Diceros bicornis minor: one gene and its partner. The protein of the gene in region 1 binds, or shares a complex with, the protein of each later gene. Links are inferred from orthologs where the notes say so. Each region holds a gene or a part of one and is shown on either strand. Other genes may lie near its edges.

Region 1 (3,911 bases):
CTACCATATATTCATATATTACGTGAATGACCTTTTTTTAAAAAATAAACTTTATTTTTTAGAATAGTTTTAGATTTACAGAACAATTGCGAATCAGAGTTCTCATAAACCCTGGTTTCTGCTGTTATTAACATCTTATATCAGCATGGTGCTTTTGCTACAATGAATGAGCCAATACTGATGCATTATTATTAACTAATATCCATACTTTATTCAGATTTCCTTAGTTTTTACCTAATGTCCTTTCACCAGGATACCGCGTTACATTTAATTTTTATATCTCCTTCGGCTTCTCTTGGCTGTGACAGTATGTGTCTCAGATTTTCCTCGTTTTTGATGACCTTGACAGTTTTGAGGAGTACTGGTCAGGAATTTTGCAGAATACCCCTCAACTGGGATTTCTCTCATGTTTTTCTCACGATCAGACGGGAATTATGTATTCTTGGGAGGACGACCACAACGGGGGACACACTATCACTGTGGATTTATCATTCCACGTTGACCTTGATCACCTGGCTGAGGTGGTTTGTCCGGTTTCTCTACTGTAAAGCTACTCTTCCCACCCCCACCCCCATTTCCACACTGTGTGACTTTTTTTAATGCAGCAAGTTTTCTTTACCTTAAAGAGTCACTAACAATGGTACAGGGGACGGAAAGGGCTTGGGGAATTCCTCCCCCTAGCGCGGTGCAGGGCGGGACCGGTCGCGAGAGGCGGGTGGCGTATGGGCTCCGCGGCGTCCTCCTCCGTCCGGCCGCGGGAGCCGGAAGACGGGCAGCTTCCTTGCCCCGCCTCGCGGAGGCTGGTCCCCGCCCACTGGCCCGGGCCGGCTCTCACCTGGGGGCGGGGCCACGGCCAGCCCCGCCCCGCCCCGCCCCGGGGAGCCTAGAGCGGGCGCGCCCGCCGAGTTTTCCGGCCAGCGGGCTCCTCCACCCGCCCCGCTCTGACGGCTGCGGCGCCCGCGGGTCCGGAGCGTCCCGAGTGCCCCGAGCGCCCCGAGGACGGGAGTGGGACAGAGCGCGAGGCCGACCCAAGGCGCCGCACCCCGAACGCCCGCAGAGAGAGCCGCTGCCGCCCGCGTCCTCGTCCGTCCCTCGCGGCCCCCAGCCCCCGTGTCCAGTGGCCAGGTGAGTGAGGGTCCCCAGCCGGCCGGGGGCACGGGACGGGACGGCGGCAGGGCGCCGCGACCCCCGCAGATGAGGCCCGGACGGCCCCGCGCCCCCTCCCGGCGGCTTCCTGGTTGCACGGCATGGGGGCGGGGACGGGTGTCGCGCTGGTCCCGGACGGGCGTCGGCCTGGCTGCCTAGCTAGACCAGCGGCGGGGGCTGCCCTCCCTGTGGGGTGGGCGGTGCGCAGGCCGGGCCCCGGGGTCCACGGCCACGTGATTGTCCAGCGCGGCCCGGGCCGGCTTGGGACCAGGTGAACAAGCGAGCAGAAGGCGACTGGCTGGTGTGGGGGGTGGCCGGTGGCCCCTGGCCCTCCGACCCAGCTGAGTTCTCGAGAGTGTGCGCGCCCTTCTGGGAAAGGCTTGTGCTGAGGAGAGATAATAGAGGAGGCTGCCTTCAGGAACCTTCCTCTGGAACTGGGAGGACGCAAATTCCTGGGAGCTGCTAGTGTTGGAGTTGATTTGTAAGGCACCTTATTTGAGAGAATGCAGGATCCATCCCTGGTGCTGTGTTCACCTGTGTGTTTACCGTCTCTGCCTTTCCCCCTTCTTCAGCCTTGAACTACAATTTCAGGGAAGGATTCTTGGACTTTTGTCTCCCCCTGGGCTCTCAGCCCAACCCTCTGAAGGCTTAAAAAGGCAGAAATCCATATTGGCTTAAAGGAGAGTTGTGAAGTTTGTCATCTAGACACTTTGGAGAGGAGTTAAGCTAGCTAGAGCTAGCCCAAGCTAGGAACAGTCTGCCCTGGACGTTTCTGTCCCTGCCCCTCTAATCAGTGACCTTTCTATGGAGATGGCGTATTTTAGGACAGACTCTAGGTATCCATGGTAGCCAGCCACTCTGCCCTCCCTCCCAGCCTTTGCTTTGCTCTCTGCTGCCCTTGGGCATGGAGTGGTGCTGTGAGGGGTGAACCTCTGCCCTGCCCACGTAACAGGAACCAAAGCTTGCAGGCCAGGGCCAGGCTGAGCCCACGAGCTGGACAGGCAGGGTGTGTTACCTTGCTCACGGGTACCTGGCTTTCCTTATGTTCCTTCATTGCTTCCTTGCTTCAGTCCATTGTTGGGGATTCCAGGAGGATTAACATGGGCTCTTGCCTCAGGGCACTCGCTGTGCTACAAGGAGTTCCCTGACAAGAGAGGCCAGCTGAGGTGCCAGGGCAGTTTGTTGCCCTGGGCATCGGGTGCTCACTACGTCGGGCTCCTGCATCCCTCCCTACTCTCGTCTCTTACCAGTCTCTGTGCCTTGGTTTCCTCATCTTGACAATGGGGGTACTAACAATATCTGCCTCCCAGCGTTATTGTGAGGATTCAGTGCGTTACTATATTTAACAGCTTTACAGCTCAGACACTAAAGAGCAGTCAGAACAGGTGGTGACTGGTACACCATACCTGTGTGTCCCAGGTAGATGTCACTCACATTAGACATAAAGCTTACAGCAGGGCCTGGTGCATAAGTAATCATCTGTGAGTATCAACAATAATAATATAGTAATAATAGCTACCACTCCCTTCATGCAGCTGAAGATCTGGCTGAGTTGAACTGCTCCCCTTCTGACCTGTCCCTCTGTCTTAGCTCATGCTGAAATGCCCTCCTTCCCCCATTTCTGCCTATTAATCACCGCCCTCATGGGAGCCACCGAGGTGCCTGCTCCCAGCAGGAAGGGACAAGACATGCTCTGAGCCCACGCAGCCCTCCTCCTCCATTCCTTTGGCACTGACGCTCTCTCCTTGTGTAGTATTTGTATGGCCACATTTCTTATCTCTGCCCTGTTCTTTGTCTCTGGAGAGTGGGGGCTGTTTCTTACTCATCTCTAGGTCTCACAGCACCCAGGATGGGCCTTGCCTCATGTAGGTGCTCAGAAGATGTTAGTTGAGTGAAAGAGCCAGGCCAGGGAAGTAAGATTTCCCTGTTGTTAAAATATTAGACCTTGAAGGCTGGGTTTGGATAGGCAAAAAAAAAAAAAGTGGGGAGAGTGAGATAAAAATTATTCCAGACTGATAAGTGGGAGAAGGCACTGGCTGAGAGGCCAAGGTGGAGTTCCCTTTGATTCCTTTATGTAGCCAGGGCAAGGATGATCCGTGGGCCCCATCTTGATTGCTGTACCTAGAAGGCCAAGATGGATTGGAGATGCCTTGGTCACATGATTTGGGGAAGGATGGGTAGTTTGGGATGATAGGAGTGAGAATTGAGCCAGAATAGGTTAGTGGGGGTTCTTCTCGGGAATTCACTGCAGAACAGAGAAAAAAAAGCTGGTGCATGCAGGAGGTGAATGTAGAAATGAAATCCACGCCCAGTGCTGGAGGATGTTTGGAGGGCCCAGGACCTTTGTGGAGCTCCCTCTTCTCCTGGAATCACCTCCTTCTTCCTCCCTCTTAGCTGCCATCTTCCCCCCATAAGCCTGAAACAGTTCCTGGGACTTGGTCCTTTGGGGGTACTCAGGGGAGAGCCTGTGTGTGTTTCACAATTACAGCCAAGCAAACAGACTCAGGTCTCTCTGCATTTTTCTCTTCAACACCCTCTGATGCCATTGCCCCTAGAACACCAGGAATTTGAGTGATACCTAGATAGGAAAGCTCTCAGGGAAGATGAAGGAACTGAAGTTTCCTTGCTGGGAATTTGTGGTTTTTTTTTCTTTGGTGAGAAAGATTGGCCCTGAGCTAACATCTGTTGCCAATCCTTCTCTTTTTGCTGAGGAAGATTGGCCCTGGGCTAACATTCGTGCCCATCTTCCTCTACTTTATATGTGG
Region 2 (3,911 bases), on another chromosome or scaffold:
CACACACAAAATGCATTAAGGAGGGAAAAAAAGGTTAAAAAACAGTGTAACAATATCTTGGTGCCTATTAAATCTATTTGCGTAATTATTTTAATGCCTGTAACTTAAAGGCCATATACCAAAACAATTAGTAACTTTTTATCTCCAGCTGTGGATTTAACGGTGTTTTCAATTTTCTGTTTCTTTTCTAAACTTTCAACAATGAACCCACATTAATTTTGCAATTAAAAAAAGACCTTAAGTTGTTTTTAAAAACCATTATTTGGAAGGCAAGAGGAGAAACTAAATGACATTTTTAAAGACAGACTTTATTTTTTAGAGCAGTTTTAGGTTCACAGAAAAACTGCAGAAGATAGAGCTTTCTCATATACCCTCTACCTCCACACATGCATAGTGTCCCCCTTTATCAATGTCCCCCACAGGGTGCTATATTTGTCACAACTGATGAACATACATTGACACATCATTATCTAAATGGCATTTTATATTTGGGTAAATATTAATCTGTACCCAATGGCTCAAGAAACAGCATACTAAAAAAACACTGATTTGACTCTATTAAAAATTTTCTTGACATATAAGTCAATATCTTTCATATTGACCATATATGATGGACTTTGTTGCAATATCAGGTTACAACAAAAGTAGCACAGAGATATATTAACTAGCACACATTTCTACTGCTAAAATGTACCTATTTCCTTGGCACACGTCTTAATCTTCACGCTTTCTTTTCTTAGATTTAGAACATCAGAGATAAGGGGCAGTGAGAATAAGACCAGAACCCAATATTGTAATTTAGACTGCACTAATACAAGATTTGGGCCACTGCAATTAATGCTCATTTAATGGGGGGGGGGGAAGAAGCCAGATTAGCTGAATGACCGATGTAAGCTTGCAAGGATAAAGACCTAACCAAAACACTGCGGCACTTGAGAAGAATCTATTTACAACAGACTGATATACTTGCAAAGCATTCTTAGTAATTCCTTAAATTTGGCAATGTCTGTTCAGATAATTATTTAAATACGTGGTTTTCTCTTCAAAAAGTGTTCTGGGGGCCGGCCTGGTGGTGTAACGGTTAAGTGCACGTGCTCCGCTTCTGTAGCCTGGGGTTCGCAGGTTCGGATCCCGGGCGTGGCCGAAAAGCACCACTTGTCAAGCCATGCTTTGACGGCGTCCCATATAAAGTAGAGGAAGATAGGCACGGATGTTAGGTCAGGGCCGTCTTCCTCAGCAAAAATAGGAGGATTGGCATCGGATGTCAGCTCAGGGCTGATCTTCCTCACAAAAAAAAAAAAAAAATCTGTAATTTCTAATTTTCACTAATTTAAACTAGCAGTCTTCCAAACTAGTCTAATAGTAACATTTAAAGAAATACGTAGGTTATAGAAGTTTCACCGTGAAAAGAGGCCACGATCTATAACTTACAATGAGACACAAACTCGACTGTACTTTAGAATTATTACAAAACCAAACAGCAACAAACCTTTGGGATAATTGACAACGTATACCAGATTTCCCCAGCCAGCATCAGGGGCATGCAGAATTCCTTCCACCAGCCGGACACCTCTCATACATTGAGACACTGGGTTCCTGTAGCGCAGCCCACATGCTCCCGGAAACTGGGCTGTCACCGTGGACAGCAGCACTGTCCCATCGTCTTCTGATGGTATTTCAATGGGCTCGTCATTCTCATCTTCGGTTACCCGAATATATTCAGACATCTTTTCTTATTTTCCTTAAAGGGAAAGAGATACGAATGACCAACACTTGTGTCAAAATAACTGTTTCCTCATAATCAGCTAATTAACACCACTACCATGTCATTGTTCTATGAGTTACAGAAAAATTCTTGTTTGGATTCTTACACGTGTTGCCTATCCCTGAAAAACGAGGAAGCAAAGGGAAGGATGGCGATTCCTATTAAAATGTGATGCCTTACTAGTTCATTCATTCAAAAAATATTTGCTGAGTGCCTACTATGCATCAGATACTCCAACTATGACCGTGAAAAAAGTCAGTCCCAGGTAGCATGCTGGTTACGAGGAGCAGGGGCGAGGGTAAGGAAAAAAAAAAAAAAAGCAAACAAGTAATGATTTTATTAAAACCGTGATGTATGCTGCCAGAAAGAAGTAATATTCTTGGGGACCGGGGAGAACCTAAGTGGGTGGAGACGTGTGTATGGGTCAAAGCAGTCTGCGCTAAGAAAGCGACGCGGAAGCTGAGTCTCGAGGACTGAACGGGAGTAGTGGGCCAGGTGGAGGGAACCGGGAAAAAGTTCCTCCCTGTGGGACTTCCGCGGGCCTCTCCAAACTTGAGCAAAGGCGACAGGTCCCTCGCGACGCGGGGCGCCACCTCCCAGAAAGCCATGCGTGGCGGCCGAGGGAGGAGTTTGTAAGCGCGGCCCGGGTGGGGCCGCAGGGGCACAAGCCTGAGCTGGCAGTGTCCCCCCGACTGCACGGTACCGAAGGCACAAAGCACTGCTCGGCCCCGGGAGCCAGGTCAGACCTCCGCCTCGGGATGCACGACCCCGCGCAAGGCCCTAAGGACGCTCCCGCGCGAGCCCGCCGGGCCAGGACAAGGCAGGTCCGGCCCCGCGGCTCCTTCCCGGGACGGGGGCCGAAGCCGCCGCGTCCGCCGCAGGCCGTCCCACGGAGGGAGCCAAGGCACCCAGAGCGTCCTCAGTGAGAAGCGTCCGCGACTCACCCGCTAGGCCGCTGCTGGGAAGCCCGACAGGGAAACCGAAGCAGCGAGGGATCCAAGACCAGCCCAGCTACCGCTTGGCTCCCACAAAATGGCGCTAGGGCCGCCTCCTCCCCCCGCCGGCCGTCGTCCTCTCCCACTGGCTCCCCGTCAGGAGGGGGAGGGCGTAGCACGGAGACACAACTACCCTCTCCCTAGCAGGTTAGGACTCCTTCTCGGCAGTCTGAGCCTACAGCACGTGTTAGAAGGCTAACATAACACCAGCGCCTGGGCCTGAAAAGCTAAAAATTGAAACAATGTGGGTGCGTAGGCTTTTAACTCCCCCCACGTAGCTTAACAGATGGTTTCGCCCGACCAACTGCCGGCCCCGGGTCTCGGCCGGAGCTCGCGTACTTTGAAAGTGCGCGAGACTAGATCGGGGCAGGGCTAGGGCGAGTGAGGCGGGGCTAGGCGGGGGCGAGGCGCGGGGCTCCCGGGTCTTCCTGACGTCACGGCTTGGGGGAGCAGGGGAGGCCAGGACCCTTTGTGTAAAAAGCCGGAGTCGTGCGACCTTTCCTCCCTCTCCTAGCTAACCTCCACGCCTGGAAAGAATAACTTTGTTCTAAATAATAGCAATGATAGCGCCTACTATGTACCAGGTGCTAAGTATTCACATATTTAGTTGCCCCGACAGTCTTGTGTGTAGTACTGATCATACCATCCGCATGTACACGTGAGAAGAAAACTGAGGCCCAGAGAGGTTATCTTGCATAAGGTCGCTCAAGTAGTCAGTGGACCTGGGATTTGAACCCTAACCCTAATGCTAGCATAGTCCAGCTCCAGGCTGTAATAATAATGGTGTACTTCATCTATTTTAAGACACGCCTTTTGTTTCACATTTCTGAATTTCAGTGATTTCAGTTCCAGTGCTGTTGGTGATATGACCTAGTTTAATTGGCGACAATCAATTTTTTAGTGTGTCAGTGTATCAGATTCAATGAAATGCAGTAATAGCAAAGTGCTCTATATTTATGCATTAACTCATTTAATCCTCACATCAGCCCTGTAAGGTAGGTGCCATTGTTGTCATTCCTGTGTTATAGATAAGGAAACTGAGGCACAGAGGTTAAGTAACCCTGCCCAAACTCACAGGACTAGTAGATGGTGGAGCTGGGATTTGAACCCAGGCCGTCTGGCTTTGGAGTGGGTGCCTCCTGCTTCTCACA

What was found.
Region 2: the proteins of ANXA11 (region 1) and TARDBP are in contact, whole or in part, in a cryo-EM structure (PDB 9FOR), measured with the Homo sapiens proteins. The link is inferred for Diceros bicornis minor from reciprocal best matches to the Homo sapiens genes ANXA11 and TARDBP. Residues at the interface, in NP_001148.1 of Homo sapiens: Gly56, Met57, Ala59, Met61, Ser62, Gly63, Phe65, Asn69, Pro71, Asn72, Leu73; in NP_031401.1 of Homo sapiens: Ala328, Leu330, Ser332, Trp334, Gly335, Met337, Gly338, Met339, Ala341, Ser342, Gln343.

Annotation. Positions count from the first base shown.
Region 1 is NC_080745.1:27,750,309-27,754,219, reverse strand, and holds the start of ANXA11 (annexin A11), read left to right. Parts: upstream 1-918; 5' UTR 919-1,125; intron 1,126-3,911. UniProt on the Homo sapiens protein: Binds specifically to calcyclin in a calcium-dependent manner. Required for midbody formation and completion of the terminal phase of cytokinesis.
Region 2 is NC_080752.1:30,290,129-30,294,039, reverse strand, and holds the start of TARDBP (TAR DNA-binding protein 43), read right to left. Parts: upstream 2,814-3,911; 5' UTR 2,710-2,813; intron 1,742-2,709; 5' UTR 1,728-1,741; coding exon 1,490-1,727; intron 1-1,489. UniProt on the Homo sapiens protein: RNA-binding protein that is involved in various steps of RNA biogenesis and processing.